Linked DNA regions of Canis lupus familiaris. The protein of the gene in region 7 purifies or fractionates together with the protein of the main gene of each other region. This does not show direct contact. Links are inferred from orthologs where the notes say so. Each region holds a gene or a part of one and is shown on either strand. Other genes may lie near its edges.

Region 1 (3,531 bases), on a different chromosome or scaffold from region 7:
TCTGGATTGTGTGAAAGAAATTCTCATGGTGTAAAAATGTTTTGTGAGCACATGCAGGACAGTTCATATTATGTTAATCATTGATGTAAAAAAGAGGTGAAACACAAACGAACCAACAGACAAGTACAGACCAATTTTCTTGTACCCATATGAAACACCCTTGGAAGCACACCAAAAACCAGTAGTAGCAGGTACCTATGGGGAAGGAAGCCAGGTGGTGGGGAGGCTGCCCAGAGGGGACTTTTCAGTGCATACTCTTTTATCACTTTTGGAAGCTTGAACCATATGAACTTATTACTGCTCTAAAACAAAACAATACAAAACAAAAACTGGAAATAAAAACAAAATTTGGGGGATCCCTGGGTGGGTCGGTGGTTTAGCGTCTGCCTTTGGTCCAGGGCGTGGTTCTGGAGTCCCGGGATCGAGTCCCGCGTCAGGCTCCCGGCATGGAGCCTGCTTCTCCCTCTGCCTGTGTCTCTGCCCCCGCCCCTCTCTCTCTATGTCTATCATGAATAAATAAAATCTTTAAAAAAAAAAAAATTGGAATAACAGTTGCATCATTTAAATTAGTGTGTGGCCTCTCAATACTCTGAATGAAACCTAATTTAGGGGAATGTTAGTTTTCAAACTACACATTTTGGTAATGATTTACCTTCACATATACAATGAACACTTATACACTTATTTTTGTAATTAAAAAAAAGGCAAAGATATAATTTTTTAAAAAGTATATCCTTCAGTTTTTTATTTATAAATCTTTTTTCTGGTAACTTTCTTGTGTGCAAATTGGTTCAAATTTTAAGCCACTTTCTTATGCTTTTATTTTTTATTTTTTTATTTTTTTAAAAAGATTTTATTTATTTATTCATGATAGTCACACAGAGAGAGACAGAGAGGCAGAGACACAGGCAGAGGGAGAAGCAGGCTCCATGCACCGGGAGCCCGACGTGGGATTCGATCCCGGGTCTCCAGGATCACGCCCCGGGCCAAAGGCAGGCGCCAAACCGCTGTGCCACCCAGGGATCCCTCTTATGCTTTTAAAACAAAAATTTATATTTAGGAATGGTAAAATTTGTCAATAATACACTTCCACGAAAATACTTATCATTTGTCTTGCATACATGTCCTTTATTTATTTACTAATACACAGCATCTTCAGTATAAGTACACTGTTGTATAAAGCAGTCTGTAAATGTACTGGCATGTTGCTACTGAATACAGGGCAAATATTTATAAGGCATTACTTTTAAAGATGTTAACACTTTAACAATTGCTCTACTTTTCCAGGATTTTTGAGTCTGGACTGCCCATGTGCTGGGTCCTAACATGACATCCTCTATGGGAGACAGATGACCGATGCCTCGGGCCCAGGCTGGAAGTGCCCGGTGAGGTGGGAACAGGTAAAGGATGTGACAAAGACAGGGGGACACAGTCCTCCCTTCAGGAGGTGCTCCTCGCCCCACCCACAGGCCCCCCGTCCCTCACTCACCACTGCACGGGCTGCCAGTTAGGGAGAAAAGGTCGGAAGCCCGTGATGCACTCAAAAGCCAAGGTGCCAAAGCTCCAGTAATCCACGGTCACTGTGTACTTCTGCTGCTCCAGGAGTTCCGGGGCCTGTGTAAGAATGTGTGGTGGGAAAACACCTGAGCTGCTTCCTCTTCTGAGGAGCTGCCACAGGAGGGGGCAACCTGCCCCTCTAATCATGTCCCCACATGCCCCTGACTCCATCCAGAGCACATTGGCATGTCCATTCCAGGGTGAGGAGGTGACCACATGTGTAACTGGTGGTGTCTAGAATTTTTTGGCACTTCATTCACTCCTGATATTGATACAAGGGCCCCTAGGGGTGTTTTGGGTAGACCAGAGAACATCATATGCCCTTTTCTTGGGTGCAGTGTCCAGGTGGGAAGATAGCTTACATACAACAAAGGAAAATGACACCAGGCTATACACACCAAATGCGTACACACACATTAAATGATGACCAAGTCTCTTAAACTGATGTGATTTAGGAATGTGGTCGTACAATGAGATGGGATATTTACAATCAGCCAGATGCAGGACTGCTCCCCAAGCAGAGACAGCTGAAGTAACCAAGCAAAGCTTTGAAGCACAGAACAGAACCTGGGTCAGAAGAAGGCTCCTCACATAAGTGTCTGCGAGGGGACATTCCAGAAAGGACCATCACAAGCCCAGGCAGGGAGACAGGACCATGGACTGTCTGGCTAGAAGTGTGACCCTTATGGAAGGGTCAAGGAGTGCCAAACACGAGGAAAAATTGGGGAAGGGTCAGATCAATCTCTGTATCTGGTTATAGACAGAAGCTTTAGTTTTTAAAGGTGAAGATTTCACTGAGCATCCTGGTCAGAGCACGGGGTCACCTCACATCACTCCTGCTGAGCCCGTGAGGCTCCCAGAGTATACTCAGTAGGACCTATGTAATTACATGATATGGACACAGGGCAGGGGCCTAAATCACAGCCCCCCATGGGTCACCACTCTGAGACCTCTATCCAGAGAGCAGGTCATAAAGCGATGGAGCCTGTTACCCTAGTTGGTAGGATAAGCAGGAAGTATAAATGCACTCAAAGAGACATCAAAGAATTTCTTCTTATTTTTTAAGAACTAGATAAAACATTTAAGCTTATTTAGCCCAGTGGCTTTCAACCTTTTTTTGTTTGTTCATTAAACTGCAGACCCCTCGATCAACCAAAATTTTACTGGTTGTTACCATCCACAAGCAATCTATTACCAAGTCTTATGGAGTCTCTTGCTAGGCATTTCTTTTTTTTTTAATTTTAATTTTAATTGTTATTTTTTTTAATTTATTTTTTATTTTTTATTGGAGTTCAATTTGCCAACATATAGCATAACACCCAGTGCTCATCCCATCAAGTGTCCCCCTCAGTGCCCGTCACCCAGTCACCCCCACCCCCCACCCACCTCCCTTTCCACCACCCCTTGTTTGTTTCCCAGAGTTAGGAGTCTCTCATGTTCTGTCTCCCTTTCTGGTATTTCCTACTCATTTTTTCTCCTTTCCCCTTTATTCCCTTTCACTATTTTTTATATTCCCCAAATGAATGAGACCATATAATGTTTGCTAGGCATTTCTTGACTTATTTTCTACATCCTCAATGCTACCACCAGCTCTGAGCTTACTATCACAACAGCCTCCTTACTACTTACCCGCTATTTACTCTTGTTCAGTGCAATTCATCCTCCACAATGCATCAAGACTCATCTTTTCAAGGGGTAATACCAATCCCTCTCCAAATTTAAACCCTTCAGTGTCTTTCTGGTCCTCCATGGACTACATCCTTTGCTTCAATCCCTTCTTTTCCCTGCCTCCAGCCCCTTCCAGTCCCAGACTAGGTGAGGTCCTCCTAATACATATTTTTATAACACCCCACCCTTTCCCTTTGTAGCACTTGTCACAATTGTAGTTTCTTAGTTTCTGTGTAAGTGTGGGGGGTAATGCCTGCTCTCTCACCAAACTCCAAGCTCCTAAAGACCAAGGAAATGCCAGTCTCT
Region 2 (4,161 bases), on a different chromosome or scaffold from region 7:
AGCTAGGTCCAACCTGTTCCTTTCATAAGCACACCCACTAAGGCCAAAAAGAGTTAAAAGATTAAGGCAATTACGATGTTAGAGGTCAAACCTAGAGTTTAAATTTTCCCCAACTTGTAAAAGCACCCACGGATCATCTTAAATACGGTTTTTTGGTTTATCAAAGACTTAGAATTTGAAGAAAAGGCCGATCATACTCGGCCACCAAATGGTTAACTACTTTTAATAATCGAGATTTCCTTTTTTTCCCCCTCCACTCCACATAAAAACGGTTCAACGTTAGCCCCACTTACCTTTCCTTTGGAACCCGATCCAACAGCCACTACTGTTGCTTGCAACACTTTCCCTTGAGATTTTTCTGGTAGCATGATACCTCCTTTGGTTACAGTTTCAGCTGCACTCCTTTCGACTAAAACCCGGTCAAAGAGGGGAAGAAACTTCCTAAACGCCTGCCCTGCCTGTAAGAGAGGAAATGTGACATCAAATTTGAAACAGCAGTAGTTATTCGATTACATTCTCAGCGTTACTCGTCAAAAAAGCACGTGCGTGGCTTTCAAAGTTAACGCCAAGGCTCAGATTCGCTTAAAGGAAAAAAAAAAAACAACACGCCACTTGAGTGTTTTGCTCTCATGAGTCTAATTTCCCGTTCTACAGCCGTTAGGGGTGGTTGCTGCTGCTGTGCTCAGCCCTCGAACGAGCTTTAAGGGCAACCTTGGTTGACTTCAAGGTCAAAGATTTTCCTTCCTTGGGTTTCTCCGGGACATTTCTGCAAAAGCCATCAAGACGCGCGCCTGCAGCCGGGCTTCCGCAGCTGCTGCGCGGGCAGAGGCCCCGCGGGAGGCGCGCGTCCGTCCCCGGCCCGGGCTGCAGGCGAGCCGGGCTCCCGCGTGCGGGGCTCCCGCGTGCAGGGCCCAGGCGCCGGCGAGGGGCGGTGGGCCCGGCCTCCGCGCGGCCCCTGCAGCTGAGCCCCTTGGGGCCCCCTCCCCTCCCCGCACGGCTGCCCCCGCGCTTCGGGGAGGGCCGGCCGCCAGCCCCCGCGGGCCTCACCATGCCTCCGGCCGCCGCAGTCCCACTCGCTCTGGAGCCGCCGCCGCCGCCGCCGCCAGGAGACCCGCAGTCCGACCCCCAGGCCACGTGAACGTGGGAAAAGGCCGCCCGGCGCGCATGCGCGCTCGCTCCCGCGCCCCGCCCCTCCCCGCAGGAGAGGGTGGCCGCGCCAGCGCGCGCTGCGATTGGCCCCCGGCCCCGCGCGCCGGCCGCTGACGCGGGGACGCCCAGGCGGAAGGAAAGGGGACTTCTTTCTAGGCCTTTCCAGGCCGCCCGCGGAGGTGTAAGTACTACCTCCTCGCCCCTCTCCCGGAAATGACGCGCCGTGAACCTTGACCCCCCCCAGAGAGCGCCGCGCTTCCCGGAACGTTCTGGAACCCAGCGCAGCCCGGGAACTAGCCTAAGCCGGCCGGAGGGGGCTGAGCCCGCCGGCCCGGCCCTGCCGCGGGTAGCGAGGGGCGGGGCTGGCGCGGGGCGCGTGCCGATTGCCGGGCCCGGGCGGGCGGGCAGGGCTGGGAGGCGCCGGCGCGCGCGGGGCCGCGGGGCGGGGGGAGGGCGGCGGAGGGAGGGGACACTGGCTCTTTGCCGTGCGCGCCGCGCGCTCTGCCCCTCAGTCGCCGCCGCCGGCCTGCCTCGCCGCCCGCACGCTCCGCCGCCGACCCGCAGGTACCCGCGCCCGCGCCCCGGAGCGCCCCCCCCCCTCCCGCGGTCTGAGAGGGCGGCGGGCGGGCGGGCGAGGGCCGGGGCTCCCGGGGCGCGCAGCCCCCGCCGCCGGGCCAGGCCTCACGGGGTCCGGCGCTGCCGTCACGTGCGGCCCGCACTGCTCCCGGGCAGGGCGCCGCGGGCGGGCTGGCCCCGGGGTGGGGGTCGGGAGCGTGCTCGGCGGGCCCGCCCCTGCCGCCCCCGCCGCCCCCGCCGTCCCCGCCGCCCCCGCCGTCCCCCGGGCCGCCCGCAGGGCGCCGCGCTGCTGGGTGGTCGCCGCCGCCGCCAACGCCGCCGCCGCCGCCACCGCGGGCCCCGCGCACACCGTGACCTTGCGGAGGGCGTCCTGAGGGGAAGACACGTGGGCCGGGCCCCCAGCGTGGCGGCCCCGGGCTGCTCCGGCCGCAGAGGCCCGGAGCCGTCGCCCGGAGCCGCATCTTACTGAGCACATTTTTGTACCTTCAGGAACGGGTTTTTTTTTTTTTCCCTCCTCCCTCGAGCGCCCATGCCTTTGCTGCAGACTTGGGTTTTCGGGAGCGCGTTCTCTCTACGCTGTTGAAGCGGTAAAAGGTTCACTCGGTTCTCGCGGCCGCGGGGAAGGCGATGGGCGTGCTCTGCGCGTCGGCGGGGTGGCGCGCGCTCGGCCTCACGTGGCGCCGGCGCAGGTGCCCGCTGTTCCCCGGGGGCAGGCCGTGCGGCGACCCGGGGTGCCGCTGCTGTGGGAGTACTGCTGACCTGGTGCTTTCCGTCCCTCCGCAGAAATGCTTCGATTACCCGCAGTGCTCCGCCACGTCAGGCCAGTGTCCAGAGCCCTGGCTCCTCATCTCACTCGGGCCTATGCCAAGGATGTAAAATTCGGTGCCGATGCCCGAGCCTTAATGCTTCAAGGTGTAGATCTCCTAGCCGATGCCGTAGCCGTTACTATGGGGCCAAAGGTATCAGTGTTTTTTGTTTTGTTGGAATTGACAGTATCGTGAGTTCAGGAGTAGAAATTTAATTATGTCAGAGAGTCCCACCGAGCTGTTGAGCAGTAAGTACTTGCGTGTCCGTTGTTCACTCATTTATAATCGGTAGGACTTATCTAGATACTGGGACAGCTCTCTGATTCGGGTCTGTAACATGTAATAAATTCAGGAGCCTAGATTTAGGTTAAGCTACTAGTATTTTCTTGATGAAAATTGCCTTACCTGTATTTGTTTTAATGACTTACGGATCCTGGGCTCCTCGTGCAGTCTGAGGAAGGTATTGCAATCAGAACCGCGTACTGACGATAAAAGCCTCTGGAAGCAATAAAGTTGTCCTTAACATTAAAAAAAAAAACTCCAATAAATACGTAAGAGTTCCCAATTACTGCTTACTCTTTTCTTTTACGTAGATAACAATGGTCTTAAAACCGTTTCTTTAAAATTTGCGAAACTCTTTCCTACAACGTCTGATGTAATGGACTGGTAACTCACAGCTCAAAGTGGATTTGAAAATGGGAGGTAGAATTAATCTTGCCTGCCTACTTAAGGTTTGGGTTTTTCCCTGGCGGTTCATACCATTGGTGGAAGTACTGTAATGAAGATTTGTCTCATTTAATATGAAGAGGGTATTGAGTGAAAGGGTAACCCGTTTTGAGGAGACCTTTGAAGGTGATGCACAAATGGAGTGATGCTTGATTGCAGGTTGACAGATCCAATATCAGAGTATTGATACATATTGTATAAAATGTGGCATTTGTATGCCTCCCAAGTAGCAGCTTTGGTTCAGATCCAGAAGCTGCCAATACTGTTTGCACCATGATTTGAGATTTAACATTGAATCAGCCCCTGAAAGAGTGAACTGTACTTGCCTTGCTTTTGGTATTTTATTTAGTAGCTAAATTTTGAAGCCTCTTTTCTTATTATTTTCATAGATAGCAGGCACTGGACAAAACTTAATTATGAATCATGTGAAGGATATTCTGAAATTTCATTATGAGCTACCAGGTTGTTTGGTTTTCTGTGTGTGTGTATGTTTTAATGAGATGACAATTTTAGTCTCTGGGATTTTTATCTTCCATAAAACCCTCAATGCATGGTTATGCATTTGGCAACAGAAAAAGTCATTTTGTTAGTAAGCTAGGAACACTGATGGATTTGCCTTTGAGATTCTTGCACATTTAATAAAAGCGACAACTTGTGTTGAGGCTTTCAAGTAATTAAAAACTGTTCATTGTGTTTCAAGCTAAATGCACTCAGGTATGTGATTCTGTCACTTTTTTTCCTCTAATTATAGGGAAGAACAGTGATTATTGAGCAGAGTTGGGGAAGTCCCAAAGTAACAAAGGATGGTGTGACCGTGGCAAAGTCAATTGACTTAAAAGACAAATATAAAAATATTGGCGCTAAACTTGTTCAAGATGTTGCCAATAACACAAACGAAGAGGCT
Region 3 (4,210 bases), on a different chromosome or scaffold from region 7:
CCCCATGACTTACGGTTTCCCAGAATTCTTACCTCGCCTCAGCAACAACCCTCATACTTGCTGCTCTTCCTCAGCCCCATTTCAGGGACAGCCAATCCCCAGCTGGAGACCATGCCTCATCCTGGACACCTCTCCCGACGACACCTCTCCCGACCCCTCAACCCCCCGAAGCCAGGCAGTTGCCATGTTCTGTCAAGGCAGCCTCCTGAACATCTCAGATCTATTCATCCACTTCCATCCCTCCAGCCCCGCCCTGCCCTGGTCTGGCCTTCAATCTGTCCACCTGCCCGGGTTCCTGCCTCAGCCTCCTCCCTGCTCTCCCAGCCTCCAGTCCTGCCCCTCTGTAGGGGTCCAGCTAAAGCACAAACCTAACCCTGTCCTTCCCTTTCTCAGAACTATCCATGGCTCCCCAGAGTCCACAGTAGAAAGCTCAGCATCCTCCCTTGCCTCCTACACTCCGGCTCCACTTACTTCCTTGAGGCTAGGTTCTGCTCACCTTTGCCAGGATAGGCCTCTGCCATCCTGTTCTTTCTGCCTGGCATTCCCTCCTCCCTCTCACCAGCCCTCATATCCTCTCTGAAACATTTCTTGTTGGTTTCTGACCAGAGACACCTCTTATCTACCTGTCCACCATCCTTGTCTCCTTCCTACCTCCAGCTCTGCCCTTGTATCCAATCTCAGCCCGGAAGCTGGGGAATCTTACCATGCCTCCCCACCACCCTCAGGATGACATCCACACTCCCTGAACTGGCCTCCAAGGCTCCGCCTCATCTCTCACTGGTCCTCTCCTCGTGGCTGCAGCCTGACCAAATGTTCCTGCTCTGAATCCCCTTGCGCTTCCACTGAAGGCCAACTGAAGGCTGCTAAGGCTCTAGATTCCAACCCCATTTCTTTTCCCCAGCTTTGCTGCCATAAGTCTCCCATCTCTCTTGTAGGATCAATTCCAGCTCTCTACTGGACCAGACTCTTGGACTCTTCCATCCTTTAAGAGAGAGAAAGAAAGCAAGCACCTCCCTCTCTCCATTTCTCCACTCCCTTTTAGGACCAAAATACTTGAACCACTTTGTCAACATTTGCTGTCTCTACTTCACTTCCTGTTCACCCTTGGGTGTTCTCCTAGCTAATTACCAACTTCATTGTTGCCCAAAACTGTTCTTATAAACTGCCCTTCTTAGGGCTACCACCAACATTCGTGAAGCCAAATCCAATGGTCAATGCTCAGTGCTCACCCTGGTAGCACCCGACCCAAGGTACAGCCCCCCTCCTTCTAGAAGCACTCTCTTCTCTCATCTTTCCTGACACCTTTCCCAACTTCCCTTTCACTTCACTGACCACTCCTCCTCAGCCTCTTCCTCTTCTTTTCTAAACATTAGAATTCCTCAAGGTTCCAGCCCCTTCTCTCCCTAGATGACCTCATCCATTTGCAGGTGTTCTATTCCATGCATAGGCTGATCAGGCCCAAATTCCTCTCCTTGCAGCTCCAGACTGGCCCATCTGTCAACTCAATGTCTCCTCTTGAATAGCCCAGTAAAATCCAAACCAGCTTTGCAATGACTTATGAAACCCCACCTGGTCTGGCCCCGGTCCTAAACTTATCTTGTATCCATCTCCCTGCTAACTTGCTAAAGCTTCCACCACACTAGTCTTTCATTTCCTACCTCAGGGCCTTTGCACATCTGGCTGCATCCACCTGAAACACTCCTTCGCGATTCTTCTCAAATGCCTTCTCAGTAAGGCTTTCCCTGACGACGCTCTCTATAAAGTAGCCTCCAGCCCTCATTCTCTCCTTCACACCCTGTTGGGGTCTGTTCAAAGCATTCTTCATAACTTCTAAGCATTTTATTATTTCTTGTGTTTTTGCTCAATGTCTTATTCTCCTGCTGAATTACAAGCTATAAAAGGGCAGGGCCACATCTGCTTCATTCCCTGCTAAATCCCCAGAGTCTGGCACAGTCCTTAGCGCAAAGCAGGTGCTCTAGAAATATAATGAATTACTGAATGAATGAGTGCCCCCACATCTTACTCTTTTTCAAGATCGGATGTCATACTATTCTTGGGATTTCCCCACCTTTACTCCCAGGGCCTCCCACGCATCCCTTTTTCTCGTGCAACCCCCAATCTCCTTGCCCTCCCATCTAATGATCTATTCCCCACCCCTACTCTACTGGGACAGTGCCCCCGCCCCCCCGCCCCATCTCCCCACTGGGTAGCACCATCACTCCCCAGCCCTGTGTCACTACTTGGCAGCGCCCTCTTCAGGCCTCACCACAACTAGCACCTCTCAAGGACCTCACGTTCGGAAATGCCCTCGCTCCCGTCCCCCTCCCGCCGCACACTTGGTAGCGCCCTCCCCAGTCTCCCCATTTAGTAGCACCCGCTCCGAATGCCGCTTCTAGGTATCACCCCTCCTGTCAGAAGCCCCCCCTGTCGGCCCCTGGTAGCGGCATCCTGGGCCTCCCCAAGCCCGGTCACTTGGTAGTGCCTGCCCCGCGCCCAGGCTGCCGCTCCGCGTTGCCATGGTTCCGCGCGGGCCGGGCACCCCTTGCCCCGGGCCGCTCTCCACCCTCCCTGGCCCCCTCCGGGGCAGGCGCACCTTTGAAGTAGTCGTTGGCCTGCGTCTTGAGCTCCTCTGCCCGCTTCAGAGCGCCATCAGCCGGGGGCTCGTCCCGGGGGGGCTCAGCACACTCAGTCCGCTCGCCCTCCGCCATCGCCATGCCGCAAAGCGACCCCCACCCTGGCAACGGCCGCCAGCGGCACCCGGCCGAATCGTCGCGAAGGAGTGCCGAGTTGCTGCGGCCGCTGCTGCACAAGTGTCGTAAAGCGCGGGCCCCGAAGGCTCCCTTCGCGCGCCTGCGCAGGGCCCTTTCGCCATAGAGCGCGCGGAGGACAAGGTGACCAGAGGGACCCTAGACAGCGCCCTTCGTAGAAGGAGCCAATGGGGAGGGCGAAAGGGGGCGCGCGGGGCGGGGGCGAGCGGGGAAGGTCTGGCCGGGCCCGCGCTCGCGAAGTCGCCGTGTTCGAAGGCCGCCGAAGTTCTGGAGGGGTCTTCTTGGGTGGGTGGGTGTGGCTGCAAGGCAGCCCCACGCAGAACCAGAGCCGGGAGACTAGCCCTACGGCCGGTTATTTGGGTGACCTTGAGCAATTAGGGGCAATTACCCCCCTCTGAAAAATGCGTGGATTCTCAAACCAAGAGACTAAAGTTCCAACCCTGAAGGTTAACTGTATCTCCATCTGTTAACTGAAGGCGCTCTGGATGCCCTAGTCCTGAGCAAGGCCCAGAAGTTTGTTGCACCATCTCCTTTCTTCATCCTCATCTCCTAGTCCCCAGCCTGCAACAGTGGCCTTAGAAAAACCTAAACTCTTTCTACTGCATTACCTAGGAAACACTGAATAGGATAGCCCCAGGCGACATCTCCAGATGCACACACACACACCCCAACCATTACATCCTAGCAGACCATCCTCTCCAAGCCTTCAACTGCTCCTCCTGTGGAACTATGGCACTAAATCATTTAAGGCCCTGCTGGAGCTCCCATCCTACAACCACAGCTGTCCCACTTCTCAGTCGCCTTGTCCTGACAGCCTGATCCCACCACCTCGTATCATAGCCAACAATCAGCCTAGAAAGTAGATTATAGTATCAGCTCCATTTTACCACTGAGGACACCGAGGTTTGTAGAAGTCAACCAACTTCCCCAAGGTCATACAAGGAGAGTGGCAGAGCCAGGACTTCACCTTGTCCCATCTGATTCTGTGCTCTTAAGCCCTACTCCACTGTCCCTAGACTCTAGATTTTTGAGATTTTTAGAAGTGTGTATGGGAAGGCTGCTGTGATGGATTTGAATCCCGGATTCGAATCCAGCTCAGTCCTTCCCTGCTGTGTGACCCTGGCAAGTGATCATCCTCTGAACCTGTTTCCTCTTCTGTAAAATGGGGACAATAACTGTGCTTATTATATATGATTAGCGGAAATTTGATAAGATCATAGGAATAAAGTATTTGGCAGAGGGCCTAACACAGAGTAAGCACTTTTTATACACAGTCCAATAAAATACTCAGAGTGGTATCGAGTACCTAGACCTGAGAGGGGAGAGGAGGGGCTCACCCTGTTGGACAAGCAGGGAAGAGTTCCTGGAGGAGGGAATGTTTGAACCAAGAGCTGAAAATGAGTAGGAGATAACCAAGTGTGAAGGAGGAAGGAAGAAAAAAG
Region 4 (3,531 bases), on a different chromosome or scaffold from region 7:
AAGTGACTCATCCAAGGTCGTTAGTGGAAGGTAGCAGAGCCAGGATTTGAACCCAGGCACTGTGCTGGGAAGCTGCACCTCTGCCTCTCTTGTCTCTTGTTGGAGATAAAACCTGAGGGTGGGGGTCTTAGAGGGCCCCTCTTGCAGGAGATGAGGCGCTATAGTCAGGTGGGTCCCTAAGTACCCGCCCCCCCCAGCTGCAGTGATGAGCCCAGCAGCTCCTGCTCCAGCAGTCCTTGTCACAATTCCTTTTTTTTTAATTTATTATTTTTTTAAGATTTTATTTATTCATGAGACACACACACACACAGAGGCAGAGACACAGGCAGAGGGAGAAGCAGGCTCCATGCAGGGAGCCCGATGTGGGACTTGATCCCGAGACTCCAGGATCACACCCTGGGCTGAAGGCAGGCGCTAAACCCCTGAGCCACCTGGGGATCTCCTTTCGTCACAATTCCTTTTGGCCACATCCTCGGGGGCTTGGCCCTGGGTGTGAGTCACCCCACCTTGATGCCAGGTCCTGGGTGGCTGTGGGGAATGGACTCCCTTCTCCTGGCCTGGTTTCTTATCCTCAGGAGGAGGGTGGGATTAGGTGATCTGAGCATTGTCCTGAATCTGTGATGTCATTTGGCTGGGGATACAGTGGGTGTCCCAAGGTTCCTTCCTGGACCAATGGCAGCTGCTCCCCCATCCTGCAGGAAGTGTGGCCCCCGGCTATCGGCAGAGGCTGCAGAGAAACTGAAGAACCGGTATATCATCATGCGGAGCGGGGCCCGGCAGCATGAGAGGGACAGCGACCGCCGCTCCAACATTCCCATCACTGTGCGGTGAGTAGGGGCCAGGGGACTGGACCCAGGTGGGCAGGACGGGCCTCAGTTTACACAGCAGGATGTGCCCAGCAAGCCTGAGGCCAAGGGCCCCTATTACCACTGCAGGCCCATAATAAGGGCTGCTGGTCAGGTCAGCTTGGGGGAGCATCAGCAGTGGCCTCCCTGATGATATGTATTTCTTGGCTTGTTTTAAGTTTGAGGAAACGTGGAATCTGTTTTTTCTGAATTTTGTCTGGCTTCCCTCATTGCAGGAAAGCCTGGGGGTGAGGGAAGGGCCTGGTCATGGGAGTTCAAGACCTGGGTCTTAGACTTTGGCCCTCTCTGACTGAAGGGAAATTCCTTTCCTTCTCTGGACCTCAGTTTTCATAGTTCTTAACTTTTCATTCTTTGGAGTTTATACAGTAGGAGGTTGGGCCTACCTGGGCTGGATCCTGTCTCTAGTAGGATTAGTTAGAAATGGATTTAGCTGTAAGTAATGGAAAACTCAAAAAAAAAAAAAAAAAAAAGAAAGAAAGAAAAAACTCAAAAAAGTAAAGTCAATAAATTGAAAATTTACTTCTCACATAAAGATGTTTGAGGGTAAGTGGTACAGGGTTGGTGTGATGGCTCCTCAGTGTCATTAGCAACTTGGGCTCATCCTCATAGATGGCTGCTGGATCTCTAGCCATCACCTCTGCATTCCAGGCGACAGGAGAGGAAGGGGAAGAAGGGCCCATCTTTCCTTAAAGATGTTTCCTGAAATCCCCACAAAATGTTTGAACTGAGAACTTATTGGCTGAATCTTAGTCACATAGACACGTCTAGATGCAAGGGAAGCTGGGGAATGTCTTAGCTGGGTGCCACATGCCGGAGTCAAAATCGGGGTTCCGTCACCGAGGAGGAAAGGGCAGCAGTCTCCTCTGCGGCCTTCCTCCCTTGGGCGGGGTGAGGCCGTGAACTGAGTCCACCGGTGGTTCCCACAGGCAGCTGGAGGCCATTGTGCGCATCGCGGAGGCCCTCAGCAAGATGAAGCTGCAGCCCTTTGCCACAGAAGCGGATGTGGAGGAGGCTCTGCGGCTCTTCCAGGTGTCCACGCTGGATGCCGCCTTGTCCGGCACTCTGTCAGGTGAGCGGACCCCCTGGGACACGGGCTCGGCCGTGCTGAGGTCCCAGCTTGGTGCCCTGGGGGGGCCAGGCAGTGCCCCAGAGCCTGGGAGCCTGTGTTGCTTCTGTGCGTTGGCCCAGCATCTATGAACTACCTCCCTTGCGCTTGGCCCTTCCCCTCCATCTTCCTCCCTGATGAGAAGCCACAGCGTTCCCCCCCAGACCCTTGAACATGATCCTTTTGGCTCTGTTAATGATTAAGAACTGTGATTTTATCATTGTTGGGGATAGCACTCCTGCCCTAAGCTCATAACGATTTTGAGCGCTTCCAGAGCTCTTTTCCTTGTTCTGTGTCCAGCTGCCCCCAGAGACTGGATGGGCACACAGAAGACAGACAGGCACTCGGGGGCTGGGTCCGGGTGCCAAGGTGTGGTTCCCTAGCTGGACTGCAGATCTCTCCACCCATGGGCCTGTGTGGGTCAGACCCCTGTTGATCCTATTCTGGGTTCAGGCTCGGCCTTGAGCAGGCTCTCCTGGAGCTCGGCCTGTGGCAGGCTCTCCTGGAGCTCGGCCTTGAGTGGGCCCTCCTGGAGCTCAGCCTTGAGCGGGCCCTCCTGGAGCTCAGCCTTGAGCGGGCTCTCCTGGAGCTCGGCCTGTGGCAGGGTCTCCTGGAGCTCGGCCTTGAGCGGGCCCTCCTGGAGCTCGGCCTTGAGTGGGCCCTCCTGGAGCTCAGCCTTGAGTGGGCCCTCCTGGAGCTCAGCCTTGAGCGGGCCCTCCTGGAGCTCGGCCTGTGGCAGGCTCTCCTGGAGCTTGGCCTTGAGCGGGCTCTCCTGGAGCTTGGCCTGTGGTGGGCCCTCCTGGAGCTCGGCCTTGAGCGGGCCCTGCCAGAGCTCAGACTTGAGTGGGCCCTCCTGGAGCTCGGCCTTGAGCGGGCCCTCCTGGAGCTCGGCCTTGAGCGGGCCCTCCCGGAGCTCGGCCTGTGGCAGGCTCTCCTGGAGCTCGGCCTTGAGCGGGCTCTCCTGGAGCTTGGCCTGTGGTGGGCCCTCCTGGAGCTCGGCCTGTGGCGGGCCCTCCTGGAGCTCGGCCTTGAGCGGGCCCTGCCAGAGCTCAGACTTGAGTGGGCCCTCCTGGAGCTCGGCCTTGAGCGGGCCCTCCTGGAGCTCGGCCTTGAGCGGGCCCTCCCGGAGCTCGGCCTGTGGCAGGCTCTCCTGGAGCTCGGCCTTGAGCGGGCTCTCCTGGAGCTTGGCCTGTGGTGGGCCCTCCTGGAGCTCGGCCTGTGGCGGGCCCTCCTGGAGCTCGGCCTTGAGCGGGCCCTGCCAGAGCTCAGACTTGAGTGGGCCCTCCTGGAGCTCGGCCTTGAGCGGGCCCTCCCAGAGCTCGGCCTGTGGCAGGCTCTCCTGGAGCTCGGCCTTGAGTGGGCCCTCCTGGAGCTCGGCCTGTGGCGGGCCCTCCTGGAGCTCAGCCTTGAGCGGGCTCTCCTGGAGCTCGGCCTTGAGCGGGCTCTCCTGGAGCTTGGCCTGTGGTGGGCCCTCCTGGAGCTCGGCCTGTGGCGGGCCCTCCTGGAGCTCGGCCTTGAGCGGGCCCTCCCGGAGCTCGGCCTGTGGCAGGCTCTCCTGGA
Region 5 (3,531 bases), on a different chromosome or scaffold from region 7:
CCTTTTTCACTTTCACATACTTTCCCCTTTTATCTCTACCTGTGTAAGTCTTGTCATGAAATTAATTTATTCTCAGTATGGTTTTGGTGATTTTTCCCTTCTTACATTTTCTTAATTGTGACTTATTTCTTATTTGAATATTCTCTTAGTGTATATAGTGATTAATGTGTTGCTACTGCTGCCCAGCAGTATTAGCAGTATACATTTTTAGATTTCTTTGTTTTTTTTTTTCTTCAGCTACTCAATAAACCAGAAAATTGCTGTGGACTTAAAGAAAGCCAGATACTTTCTTTACTGAGTGATATAGGTATGTAATCAGTTTGAAAATACCATCATAATTTAGTGCCCCTTTGGTTTATAAAAGGATCTATATACTACTTGGGAATTAAGAATTTTTGATGTACTATACAAAGCATACACTTTTACCATCTATAAGAAATTATCAGAAAAATTTAACTCTTGTTGATGCTAAAACTAGGATATTTTATTTTTTTGTTTTTCGCCAGGAGACCATTTTTTGACTAATGGATGCTCTAAGTGCTAAGAAAGAATGGTGTGAAATGACCTTATTCAATTTTGCTCCCCCTTCTTCTCTGCCTAGCATAGTAATTTTATTTACCAGTGACGTTGCATCTTTTGGTTATAGGTTCTCAAGTCAACTTGTAGGATAAAATTCCTTTTTAATAAGAATTAATCTGGGACACCTGGGTGGCTCAGTAGTTAAATGTCTACCCTTGGTTCAGGTTGTGATCCCAGGGTCCTGGGATCAAGTCCTTCATCGGGCTCTCTATAGGGAGCCTGCTTCTCCCTCTGCTTATGTCTCTGCCTCTCTCCATGTGTCTCTCATGAATAAATAAATAAAATCTTTTAAGAAAAAAAAAATTACTCCTGAAAAATCCTTAATTAGGCCCTTGGAAGTTCAGAAGCCAAGAATATGTTTCCCTATATATTTTTTCTTTTTTTTTTTTTTTTAAAGATTTTATTTATTTATTCGTGAGAGACACAGAGAGAGAGAAGCAGAGACACAGGCAGAGGGAGAAGCAAGCTCCATGCAGACAGCCTGATGTGGGGCTTGATCCCAGGACCCCAGGATCACACCCTGAGCTAAATAAAGGCAGACACTAACCACTAGCCACCCAGGCCTTCCTCCCTATATATTTTTATTTTGTTTCTTTTTCTAGGTCATGGAGGTCAAGTCTAATTGAAGACGATGATTTAGGTGGGAGGGAAAACTAGGGGGACTTATGTAATTCTACAGTATTTGTTTAATATTAACTGGATTTTCTGTGGAGAGACTATTAACTGGTACAATACCATTAATCATATAATTATGATGGTCTGTGTAAATAGGAGCATCAGAGGGGTGCCTGGCTGGCTCAGTTGGAGGAGCATGCAACGCTTGGTTTTGGGGTTGTGAATTCAAGCCCTACATTGGGTGTAGAGATTACTTAAATAAAAAAAGAGTTTGAACATCAGAGAAGATCTGTACAAAATGTGAGATGAATTTATTTTTAATTCAGTGTTTCTGTTACCTCAAAATACATTTTAAACTTTATTCAGGGTCTGGGATCCGATATTTGCATGAAAACAAAATAATACATCGTGATCTAAAACCTGAAAACATAGTTCTTCAGGATGTTGGTGGAAAGGTAGGTAAAACCTGAAGAACTGTTACATGCCAATTGAATATAGATTCCCTGGTATAATTAGTCTTTGAAATCTGGTGCCTTTCCATAGCATTTTATACTTTTTCTTCCCCAGCCTTCATTTCACTGAACTGTGGTTTTGTGTTTAGATGTTTGTCTCCTCTTCTAACACAGTGTTTCCATTAGAGAAGGAACTGTCCCTATCTTGGGCACTTCTGGTTTTGAATACAGTATCTAGTAGAGATAATAGACAATGAATAAAAATAATTTGTTAATCCCTTACAAAGCACATCCAACACACACACACACACACACACACACTGGATTTGGTTAAGTATATTTACTTAACTGTTTCTTATTTAAGAAAGAACAACCTCATTCTCTTCCCTCAAATTCTAAGTGCTATATATAAGTAAAATTCAAAACCTTGGTTTCTCAGATTCTTAAATGAGTCATCTTGAGAAGAACCAGAAATTATGCATTGACTCCTGGAATACTTGTATTTATCAGAATAATTTGAGCAGTTTTCTTGTGACTAGCACCCAAGTTCCATTCCAATAAAGATGTAAAGCCAAGAGTCTGAACCTTGAATTGGATTGTGTGGTCTTTAGTTAGTGATGATGGTGGTCAGTTGAGGTGATAAAACTGATGGTGCTTCTTAAGAGCCTTTCATGTATGCTTGGCACCAACTATTTCTGCTTCGTTTGTATCCAAAGTCTTCAGGATATTCCTGAAGTTAGATAGGTCTTTACTCACTTAGTGGTATGATTCTTTCTCAACTTTGGAAGTCATCCTTACCTTTCCCTTTTGGTTTAATGGATCAGTCTTATTCTGAATATGCCAAAATAAAAATTAATAGTCTATACTTAATTTTGTTAACATTTTTTACCATGCATCAAAGGAACTATGTTATTCTTTTCTTTCATTATTTCATTGAATCCTAATAATAATTTTGTGAAGTAAAGATCATTAGTAATATCATTATGTAGGAAACTGAGAGAAGTTAAGTAACTTGATCAAGATCATATAAGTGGGCAGCTCAGGCTTGAAATATGTTTGTGATATTCCAGAGCTCAAGCTCTTCCCCACCACCTTCTCCAGAGCCTTATAAGGATATTGTTGCCTTTCCTTTTCAAATTTCTCATTTAATACTTCTTGTTTTGCAGATTATGCATAAAATAATTGATCTAGGATATGCCAAAGATGTTGATCAAGGAAGTCTGTGTACATCTTTTGTGGGAACACTGCAGTATCTGGTGAGACATTAATTGTTTCTTTGAATTCATGTTCTTACTTCTGAAGGTCATGAATATAGTAGTCCAAAAATAAAGTAGCTCTTCTCTTCTAGTGTTGATGTTTGAAGCATTTTTTTTTTTCTTTTTAAGGCCCCAGAGCTCTTTGAGAATAAGCCTTATACAGCCACTGTTGATTATTGGAGCTTTGGGACCATGGTGTTTGAATGTATTGCTGGATATAGGCCTTTTTTGCATCATCTGCAGCCATTTACTTGGTAAGAAATGGAAGAGAACTTTGGTGTGCTTAATGGTAATGTAAATTTTCAGTTACCTGCTTTTTTTTTCTTCCCGCTTCGTATGTGTAATTGCCTTTTAAACGCATAGTTGAATAAAATTAAATGGCAAAAAAAAATCTTAAGAGTATGAGAATGAGTTGTCAACTGAGGTAACTTGTTTTATAGGCATGAGAAGATTAAGAAGAAGGATCCAAAGTGTATATTTGCATGTGAAGAAATGACAGGAGAAGTTCGGTTTAGTAGCCATTTACCTCAACCAAATAGCCTTTGTAGGTAAGTATATTTTAGTTGAGAAAGTTCACCTCAGTTTCTTTAGGATTATAAAAGAACAGTGGAATTGTCTGTTTCAAGTAG
Region 6 (4,237 bases), on a different chromosome or scaffold from region 7:
CTTGAGGTTTTTCTTTCTAGTGTTCCAGCTGCCCTTGCCAGCAGGGCCCAGAGCTACAACTATCAGAATGCAAAGAGGGCGAATCTGTACTGACTTGTATTCCATTTTGTCCTAGAACGTGGTTTATAGTCATCTCGAGCCTGAGCTCTTACATCCTCCACTAGATGGTTAAGGAGAATAGAAGTTAAGGTGGAAGGAGTGGCAAATAGAGTCATGAAATGATTTTAGACAGGTTGTCCCGAACGAGATACTGATCTCTTCCCTCCTTACTCTCATTCCCCTAAAGGGCTAGGAAATAAGGAAAGTCAGAGGAACCTGTCTATTGTCGACCTAAGTGTCTGTGAGCAGAAGCAATTTGGGAAAGTCCAAGTTCTGGGCGGGAGCAAGGACTAAGAAAGCTCGCACCGGGGGAAAGAGGGAAGCAGAACGACCCCAAACAAGGAGTCACAGGGTTTGTGGAAGAGCACAAATCATTCTCACGCAGTGCTGAGGTCCAAGGTGGTGGTGGAGGTAACCTCCCTGCACACGCTCACTCCTGTATCTGTCCATCTGTACACAATGTGTAAAATACCCACACATACACAAACGCGCATATCATTGCCTCTCCCTGTTGCAAAGAACCTTGCAGGTTAAGTGTTTCTGTCTCTTGCTCATTGGTAATTTCTCCGCCAGAAAGCACCGTCTTATTTTAACGCTCCCTGGAAGAGGTGGAAGTTGGAAAGATGGGAGGGCATCACCTTGACACTCCTCCGGTTGGGTCACTGCATTAGTGTGCCTTCCGTCAGTCCGTTAGTGCTGGCTGTGCCCTGAGATGGGTATTGTCCCCACCGGGGGCTACGTCTTTCCAGACAGCCCCATCACTCCTTTAAAGGGCCAGCGACTGAGACACCGGAAAAAAAAAACCCGCATGCACACAGGAAGCGAGCACTCGGTAAAAATTTGTTGAATGAGCCAATGAATGAAACAAAGACACAAACGAGACCAGGTCTCCCCGCGGCAGTGAGGCCGAAAGGCTCCAGCGCCCGTCCCGCCCCCGCCTCGTCTCCAGCTCCCTGACCGCCGCGCACAGAGGGAGGCGCGGAGCGAGGAGCGAGCGCCAGAAGCGCTCAGGCGCGGCCTGCAGCTCGGCCCTGGAGCCGGGTGGCCCGGGTTGCCATGGCACCGCCCTGGACTCCACCCTCCCCCGTCTCCCCGCACCCCCGCCGGGTCTGGCAGTCGGTCACGTGCCCCGCCGCGTAGCCACACCTCTGCTCCTCCGAGCGGAGTCGGGCGGTCACGTGTGATAGCAACAGATCACGTGGCCGCCGTCGCCCCGCCTGCCCTCTCCCCTCCCCGCCCGCTTCCCGGCCGAGGCCGCTCTGGCCGCCCCTCTGCGCACGCGCGGCTCGTCACGTGGCCCGAACGTCCGGCTTTCGCCCCGCCCCGCCAGTTTCCGCGCGCCTCTTTGGCAGCTGGTCACATGGTGAGGGTGGGGGTGCGGGGGCCGCTCTAGCTTGCGGCCTGTCTATGGTCGGGCCCGGAGCGTCCAGCTGCCCCGGACAGAGCTCCTGTGTATGGCGCCGCAGGCTCTGGCTCCGGGGCCCCGATAACGGGCCGCCCCCGCAGCACCCGGCGCCGAGTGAGGTGAGCGTGGCGCCTTCCCGGGGACGGGACCGCTGTCGCCCTCGCGTCTGCCTACGCGGGCAGGTTACGGGAGGGTCGCTCGAGGGCGGGAAGTGCGGCCCGCGCAAAGTTCCTTTGTGGTCAGCTGGGATGTAATGGTAGGGACGGATGTCGAGTCTTCGATGCAGGGGGTGTGTCGTGTGCGGTCTGCCCCGTGCGGGGCGCGACGGCCCGTCCCCGAGGAAGAGGAATTCTTTCTTTGAGGGATTCACGTTTATATTTAAGGCGTGGGTTAAATAACCCCCCCTGGCGGGGTTGGGGTTAGAGCCATTGTGTCAGCTGAGGAGCCAGCCTCACGGAACTGGGGAGAGGGACGGGGTGGTGGAGGGGGGGTCTTTGTGATGCCTTGTGGGGGAGTCACCTCGTTGCGGCAGGCTCATACCACCTGAACTCTTGAGGGATTTTCGGTGGCAGGAGGCTTTTGTGATTGTAGGGTCTTCTCTGATCCGAGAATGGCTACTCCTCGGTACGAGCCAGTGGCTGAGATTGGGGTTGGTGCCTATGGAACGGTGTACAAGGCCCGTGATCCGCACAGCGGCCACTTCGTGGCCCTCAAGAGCGTTAGAGTCCCTAATGGAGGAGGTGCCGGAGGGGGCCTTCCCATCAGCACAGTTCGTGAAGTGGCATTGCTGAGGCGGCTGGAGGCTTTTGAGCATCCCAACGTTGTCCGGTGAGAAGGTGGGGGGTGGGGAGTGGGTAGTAAAGGGGAAAAGACAACTTGTAGGTGGGGATTCTGGGGAAATGGGGAAGGCCGCATCGGGTCCAGAGGGATTGATCAGTGAGTGACCACTTGTTCTGGCCAGGCTAATGGACGTCTGCGCCACTGCCCGAACCGACCGGGAGACCAAAGTGACCCTGGTGTTTGAGCACGTGGACCAAGACCTGAGAACGTACCTGGACAAGGCACCCCCACCGGGCTTGCCAGTGGAGACCATCAAGGTGAGTAGGGTGGGTGGACACTGAGGAGTAGATTGAGACCTTTGTGGCAGAACCTGCTGTGATTTCAGGTATGGTGCCTAGTTCCAGGTCCTCTGTTCTTCCCCCTTCTAAACCAGGATCTGATGCGCCAGTTTCTAAGAGGCCTAGATTTCCTTCATGCCAACTGCATCGTTCACCGAGACCTGAAGCCCGAGAACATTCTGGTGACCAGTGGTGGGACAGTCAAGCTGGCTGACTTTGGCCTGGCCAGAATCTACAGCTACCAGATGGCACTTACGCCTGTGGTCAGTAGCAAGAGGGGAGTAGGAGAGGGGTTGACCGTAGCAGTTGAGAAGTCGGGCACTTTGTGACTTTAGTCAACCAGTTATGGTTCATGGTAACCCATGGGGTCTTCATCCACTTTTCTTGTTCCTATTAGGTTGTTACACTCTGGTATCGTGCTCCAGAAGTTCTTCTGCAGTCTACGTATGCAACACCCGTGGACATGTGGAGTGTCGGCTGTATCTTCGCAGAGATGTTTCGTCGCAAGTATGGGACCCAAGCATCCTGAACTATTTTGAGTTTCCCAAACCAAATCTCTTAGTCATAGATCACATCCATTTCCTGCCCAATCTTTCACTTAAGTATTGTTGACTGTTCTGTCCCTAACCAGAAACTCTGAAATGTCCCAAAGTTAGGAACTTCACATCCCTGTATTCCCCCACACTCTCTGTTTTGAGCCATTACCTACCAGTAATTATTCCACTACTGTATCTTTGGACATGACTTCTGTGTTTTTTCCACCTTAGGCCTCTCTTCTGTGGAAACTCTGAAGCTGACCAGTTAGGCAAAATCTTTGAGTAAGTGACCAGCATGAGGGGAGAAAAAAAAAACTTTCCATTCCAAATCTTTTTTCTGCTGAGCCCCACATGGCAGTTGGCTCTGCCCCTGGAGATGTGGGCTAGAGAAAGACCCTCTTGACCAGAGCTCTCCTGTTCCCCATAGTCTGATCGGGCTGCCCCCAGAGGATGACTGGCCCCGAGATGTGTCTCTGCCCCGAGGAGCCTTTTCCCCTAGAGGGCCCCGTCCAGTACAGACAGTGGTACCTGAGATGGAGGAGTCTGGAGCACAGCTGCTGCTGGTACTGGGCGTGGGCACGGGCACAGGCTGAGGATGGGGTGGAAGACCGAGCACTAGCATTGCGGTTACTAAGACTTGGTTGGTGGATGGGCTAGTTTTTACTGGCGCCAGTGAATAGGCCATCCATAAAGAGGGATGTAGAAAATAGCCCATCCTAGGTATTGTTGGGGGTGAGCGGAAGTCTTTTTCTTTTTTTTTTTGTTTTGTCTTCATGACCTTTTGATCTTTGCCTCCCCTTCTCAGGAGATGCTGACTTTTAACCCACACAAGCGAATCTCTGCCTTCCGAGCCCTGCAGCACTCTTATCTACAAAAGGCAGAAGGTAACCCAGAGTGAGCAGTGGAATGGCTGCAACGGTAGCAAGAGGAGAGAAGCTGTCTTTTCTCTTCCTTTGAACACTTGAGTGGAGAGCTCCCCAAACTAAGAAGGCAGTCTTGACCTTCATCTCTGAGGCTGTGGAAACAACTCCCACTTTTTACAGAGAATATTTTGCTGCCTTAATGACATTCCCTTTCCA
Region 7 (4,118 bases):
CTGAAACCTCCATCTTGTTTCTGCAATTCTGCATCCCAGGAACTCACTGTGGGGGGCTTAAGTGAGTGTCAGCGAGTGGGAGAGCCTTCCAGAAAAGACAGAATTTCTGTGCTAGTGCGTGATTTGAGATCTTCCCATTAGAAGACCCCGGGAGTCTCTGGTCTTAATACTGATCCACAGGAGTGATTTCTGCTGCTTTGGACTTGGGTCCTGGGAAGGGAGACAGCATTGCTACTCCATTCCTGGAGCAAGGAGCGAGGGTTGGTGCAACAGAGGCTCTGAGCTGACTGATCTCACTGAAGCCTTGCTTTCCCAGTGAGAACGGGAGACTCACTTTTACCTCTTCACAGTATTGTGAAATAGTTTGAATGCTCTTTGTGAACTAGGGAGGTTTTTAATTTTCTAGGCCCCTTCTGCCCAGAAAGAGAGAGGGTATGTTGAGGGATGACACACTTCGTTTGAGATCTTGATCAGGAACAGAGAATCCTGGAGGATTCCTGGCAACAGCACCCACAGCTCTTCCCAAACACATTAACTTCCCCAAGTCACAGATTTCTCACACACCATTAAGGAGAATAGGGGGCAGCCCGGGTGGCTCAGTGGTTTTAGCGCCGCCTTTGGCCCAGGGCATGATCCTGGGGACCCTGGATCGAGTCCCACGTCTGGCTCCCTGCATGGAGCTGCTTCTCCCTCTGCCTGTCTCTGCCTCTCTGTGTCTTCATGAGTAAATAAAAATCTTTAAAACAGGTGTGTGTGTGGGGTTGAATAAAAGAGTAAGGAGAAATATAGGAGTGGTGGCTGTGGCTGGGTGATGAGGTCTGGTGCTTGGGGAAAAGATAAGGAATTGGAAGGTCTGTTCTTCGGAATTTAACATATGAATAAGGAAATACAAAGGAAGGAAGAAGGCTGAGGAAGGACGGCGGGCGGTGGTGCCGGAGGCAGCCCCTCCCCAGGATTCCAGGGAACGACCCTGTGGGCCAGGGAGAAGTGGATGGACCCCTACAAGGTCACAGAGCAGCAAGAGGCCATTCTCTTCCGGAGGGGCCGTGGGTCCGACGGCATTCCTAGGGGAGGCCTTAGGTAGACAAGGACGGCTTCCCCTCTGGAAGGCGCGCGAAAGGGGCTGAGCCACGGCGTCCCACAGCTCTCCCGGCCGACTAACGGCTCGGGAGCGCCCGCGCCGCAGCTGGAGGGGAACGACTTCTGGCAGCCTGCAAGGGGGCCCGCTCCTCCTCCCGTCTGCCGGCCGCAGGAGCGAAGAGGGCCCAAACTGAAACCAGATGGGGAAACAGCTCCGTGTGCTCACGCAGGGAAGACGCAGGTCTCCGGGTCCCACTCACTTGGGCGGATGCACAAGTAGGGGAGGGTCCTCCTCCCCGCCCCCCGCGATGGCGAATGCGTCCCCGGGTCTCTGCGCCCCGAAGGCGGCGCCAGCACCACCGCCCCAACAGCCCCAGGCCGTGGGATCGATGGCGGGGGTGGGGGGGTCAATCTTTCCCTTTATGCTCCATCCCACTCCCGAGGGAGCGCTGGGCTCGCCGAACCGGCAGGTGGGAGATGAGGGTCCCCCCCGCGGGCTCCCAGGTTAATAGGGGAACAGCCCGCCTCCTCCCCGGGGACCGCGGCGGCTGCGGACACCCGGCCCAGGCCGCAGAGGGCGGGGCGGCGCCTGCACGGAGGGGGCGGGGCGGGGGCGGGGCCGCCAAGGCGGGTCTGGAAACTGCTGGAAGTAATCGCAGTACCACCATTGCCGCTCCTTCCGCCGGACGCGGGCAAAGAGTCCCCCTGCCGGTGCCGGCCAGGGCCCTTCCCCCAGCCGGAGCCACACCCCGCCGCACAGCCGCGGCTTTCGCCCACTGCCCCTGGGAGGGCCGGGGCGCAAGGCCTCCCTGAGGTTAGACCCCGGATTCCGCACCGTCCCTAAGGAAAACTGCTTCCCCTTCTCGGGTTGTGGGGGTCTGGAGGGCAGATTGTAGCAAGAGTCGAACCCGGGAGCCGAGGTCGGAGCGGTTGGCCGCTTCTATCCCCGCCCTCCACCTTTATAGGTGTTCCTCCAGGCCAGGACTCGAGTGGGGAGGCGCCTGCCTCATGGTTTATAGGAAGGCCAGTGGCACCCGCACCCCTAGATCCCCCACTTATTTCATATGAAATAAGACGTTCCCAGTCTTTAGTTCTCGGAGGGAGCTCATGCCTTGCAAAAGCAGAGATGTACTTGCGTACTCTGAAGGCGGAGACCGAGACCGGCGGCCCCCCCCCCCCCGCCCGCCCCATTTTGGGCCATGACGTCAAGGTGGGCGGGCAGCGGCAGGTGCGGGGCTGAGCTGCACCCTCCTTTAAGGCGGAGGGATCCGGGGGCCGGCAGCTGGTCTGTGCTCCGCCGTATATAGAGCGGCCGGGGGCGCACAGCCGCTCTCTTGAGTCACCCCCGCGCAGCCTTGGTTCGGCGTCGTAGCCGGACGCAGCCCCTGCCCGCCGTGGTCTGTAGTGCTTGCAGCTCTTCCCCTTTAAGGTAAAGTCGTAGCTATTTCCAGGTTTTCCTGCCTGGAGTGCTCTCTTGAGTTGCTCTCGTTCCTCGTTTCCTTTCTAAAGCCTGGGTTTCGTGGAGTGGGAGCGGCCTGTGGGATGGGACGACTCCTAACTGCTTTCGGGGGTGGCCGGGAGGGGGACCGCGAGCTAGACTTGCTTTCTCACCCGTGCCTGGTGGCGGGCGTCCCCGCGGGCGGCGCCTGGCGCTGGGGGAGGTGGGCCGCGGCGCGGGCTGGGGGTGGTGGGCAGCTGCACGTGGTGTCCGCGCCGGCCGGGACGCTGCCATGTTTGCCCCTCCACTTCCGGACGCGGCTACGGGGCGCCGGAGGGTCCCCGCGCGTTGTGGGTGTGCGCGCTGGACGTGACTCAGCACGGCCCGGGGCTGGCCTGCCCGTGCCGCCTGTGCCATCTGTCCCCTGGGACGCGTTTTGCAAGGGTTTTCGTTTTTTTTTTTTTCTGTGACCTTCGGCGAGCAACGTTTGACGGCGGTCTCTGGCCCATAGTGCTTCCTCTCCTTCCAGATCTTTCCTGCAGTGTCGGTGTGGGGGAGGGGAGTGGAGGGGGCAAGCTCGGGAAGATTCATGGGCCCTTTCCTCCCCCGCCTCTCCGAAGAGCTGAGATTGTTCTGGAAGCTTCTGGAACCCGGCGCCCCGCCCTGGTGCCCGGATGCTGGGGCGAAGGGAGGCTGCGCGGTGGCGCCCCCTCCTCGCGTGGCCCTGGCCGACGCACGTCCGGCAGTGACGAGGGTCTGCCCAGCGGACGACGGCCACCATCTTGGTTATGTTTGGTTTGGTCCCACGCTGTAGTCACGTGTGCTGGGGTCGCGATGGAGCTTCTGCCTTAGCGGTTCTTTGTCTCAGCCGCTTGGGCGGGTATCCACCGGCCCCGGGGGTAGTCGGCCCCTGCGCTCCAGGGTGCTTGATGTGGGAGACCCCCAGCGGGAGAGCCAATTGCGAATTCCTTTTAACCCGAAATTGGTCGCCTCGGGCTACCGTTTGTCCTACCAAAAGAAATAGAGCCGTATTCAGTGCTTTTCTCTTGAAAATTATCTGGAGTCCTTTTCGTGTTCCTGGATCCGATCTGCATTTTCAACGAGGTACTCGGTGATGCGGAGTCTGTTGGGTCCCATGGACCACTTAGAGTACTTAGGCTCCAAGGTGTTTTTCCAAAACGCTTTTGACGTCGTGTGTTGTGTTAGAGAAGCTTTTAAAAATTCTTCCTGAATTGGATTTCCACTAAGGGTATAGGCTGAAATCATTGAGGGAAAAGTTTTCTAGTTTTTCAGGAATATGTCTACTATCCAGCCCAAAGCAATTTCAACTAAAAGCTGAGTCTTCGTTGTGAGTAGGGTGAAACGGAGTGTTACCTATGGGGCCACGGTGTTCTTTTGTAATTCTTGACTGTTCTTATTTTAGATGCCTGAGGAAGTGCACCATGGAGAGGAGGAGGTGGAGACTTTTGCCTTCCAGGCAGAAATTGCCCAGCTCATGTCCCTCATCATCAATACCTTCTATTCTAACAAGGAAATTTTTCTTCGAGAGTTGATCAGTAATGCTTCTGATGTGAGTGCTTTGGGCACTTTTGTTTATGGT

What was found.
Region 1: the proteins of HSP90AB1 (region 7) and IKBKB purify together in Homo sapiens (affinity purification with western blotting; 3 studies listed by BioGRID and IntAct, with this or other methods). This does not show direct contact. The link is inferred for Canis lupus familiaris from reciprocal best matches to the Homo sapiens genes HSP90AB1 and IKBKB.
Region 2: the proteins of HSP90AB1 (region 7) and HSPD1 fractionate together in Homo sapiens (co-fractionation; 3 studies listed by BioGRID). This does not show direct contact. The link is inferred for Canis lupus familiaris from reciprocal best matches to the Homo sapiens genes HSP90AB1 and HSPD1.
Region 3: the proteins of HSP90AB1 (region 7) and PPP5C purify together in Homo sapiens (affinity purification with mass spectrometry; 6 studies listed by BioGRID and IntAct, with this or other methods). This does not show direct contact. The link is inferred for Canis lupus familiaris from reciprocal best matches to the Homo sapiens genes HSP90AB1 and PPP5C.
Region 4: the proteins of HSP90AB1 (region 7) and MCM5 fractionate together in Homo sapiens (co-fractionation; 3 studies listed by BioGRID, with this or other methods). This does not show direct contact. The link is inferred for Canis lupus familiaris from reciprocal best matches to the Homo sapiens genes HSP90AB1 and MCM5.
Region 5: the proteins of HSP90AB1 (region 7) and CHUK purify together in Homo sapiens (co-immunoprecipitation; 3 studies listed by BioGRID and IntAct, with this or other methods). This does not show direct contact. The link is inferred for Canis lupus familiaris from reciprocal best matches to the Homo sapiens genes HSP90AB1 and CHUK.
Region 6: the proteins of HSP90AB1 (region 7) and CDK4 purify together in Homo sapiens (affinity purification with mass spectrometry; 5 studies listed by BioGRID and IntAct, counting the BioPlex papers as one, with this or other methods). This does not show direct contact. The link is inferred for Canis lupus familiaris from reciprocal best matches to the Homo sapiens genes HSP90AB1 and CDK4.

The regions. Positions count from the first base shown.
Region 1 is NC_049237.1:24,111,194-24,114,724, forward strand, and holds part of IKBKB (inhibitor of nuclear factor kappa-B kinase subunit beta), read right to left. Parts: intron 1,615-3,531; coding exon 1,490-1,614; intron 1,401-1,489; exon of another isoform or gene 1,288-1,400; intron 1-1,287.
Region 2 is NC_049258.1:6,898,099-6,902,259, reverse strand, and holds the start of HSPD1 (60 kDa heat shock protein, mitochondrial), read left to right. Parts: upstream 1-1,359; 5' UTR 1,360-1,495; intron 1,496-1,596; exon of another isoform or gene 1,597-1,713; intron 1,714-2,208; coding exon of another isoform or gene 2,209-2,256; exon of another isoform or gene 2,257-2,369; intron 2,370-2,508; 5' UTR 2,509-2,510; coding exon 2,511-2,684; intron 2,685-4,008; coding exon 4,009-4,161. Other genes in the region: HSPE1 (MOB-like protein phocein), read right to left, coding at 294-458, 2,209-2,256. UniProt on the Homo sapiens protein: Chaperonin implicated in mitochondrial protein import and macromolecular assembly. Together with Hsp10, facilitates the correct folding of imported proteins.
Region 3 is NC_049222.1:110,176,356-110,180,565, forward strand, and holds the start of PPP5C (serine/threonine-protein phosphatase 5), read right to left. Parts: upstream 2,801-4,210; 5' UTR 2,715-2,800; coding exon 2,594-2,714; intron 1-2,593. UniProt on the Homo sapiens protein: Serine/threonine-protein phosphatase that dephosphorylates a myriad of proteins involved in different signaling pathways including the kinases CSNK1E, ASK1/MAP3K5, PRKDC and RAF1, the nuclear receptors NR3C1, PPARG, ESR1 and ESR2, SMAD proteins and TAU/MAPT.
Region 4 is NC_049231.1:29,725,239-29,728,769, reverse strand, and holds part of MCM5 (DNA replication licensing factor MCM5), read left to right. Parts: intron 1-698; coding exon 699-827; intron 828-1,792; coding exon 1,793-1,935; intron 1,936-3,531. UniProt on the Homo sapiens protein: Acts as a component of the MCM2-7 complex (MCM complex) which is the replicative helicase essential for 'once per cell cycle' DNA replication initiation and elongation in eukaryotic cells.
Region 5 is NC_049249.1:13,175,836-13,179,366, reverse strand, and holds part of CHUK (inhibitor of nuclear factor kappa-B kinase subunit alpha), read left to right. Parts: intron 1-237; coding exon 238-307; intron 308-1,560; coding exon 1,561-1,649; intron 1,650-2,812; coding exon 2,813-2,902; intron 2,903-3,031; coding exon 3,032-3,156; intron 3,157-3,342; coding exon 3,343-3,450; intron 3,451-3,531.
Region 6 is NC_049231.1:2,166,945-2,171,181, reverse strand, and holds the start of CDK4 (cyclin-dependent kinase 4), read left to right. Parts: upstream 1-1,422; 5' UTR 1,423-1,623; intron 1,624-2,095; 5' UTR 2,096-2,114; coding exon 2,115-2,332; intron 2,333-2,465; coding exon 2,466-2,601; intron 2,602-2,717; coding exon 2,718-2,885; intron 2,886-3,019; coding exon 3,020-3,129; intron 3,130-3,389; coding exon 3,390-3,440; intron 3,441-3,585; coding exon 3,586-3,721; intron 3,722-3,963; coding exon 3,964-4,056; 3' UTR 4,057-4,237.
Region 7 is NC_049233.1:12,845,156-12,849,273, forward strand, and holds the start of HSP90AB1 (heat shock protein HSP 90-beta), read left to right. Parts: upstream 1-1,292; 5' UTR 1,293-1,310; exon of another isoform or gene 1,311-1,321; intron 1,322-2,350; exon of another isoform or gene 2,351-2,514; intron 2,515-3,296; exon of another isoform or gene 3,297-3,622; intron 3,623-3,941; coding exon 3,942-4,088; intron 4,089-4,118. UniProt on the Homo sapiens protein: Molecular chaperone that promotes the maturation, structural maintenance and proper regulation of specific target proteins involved for instance in cell cycle control and signal transduction. Undergoes a functional cycle linked to its ATPase activity.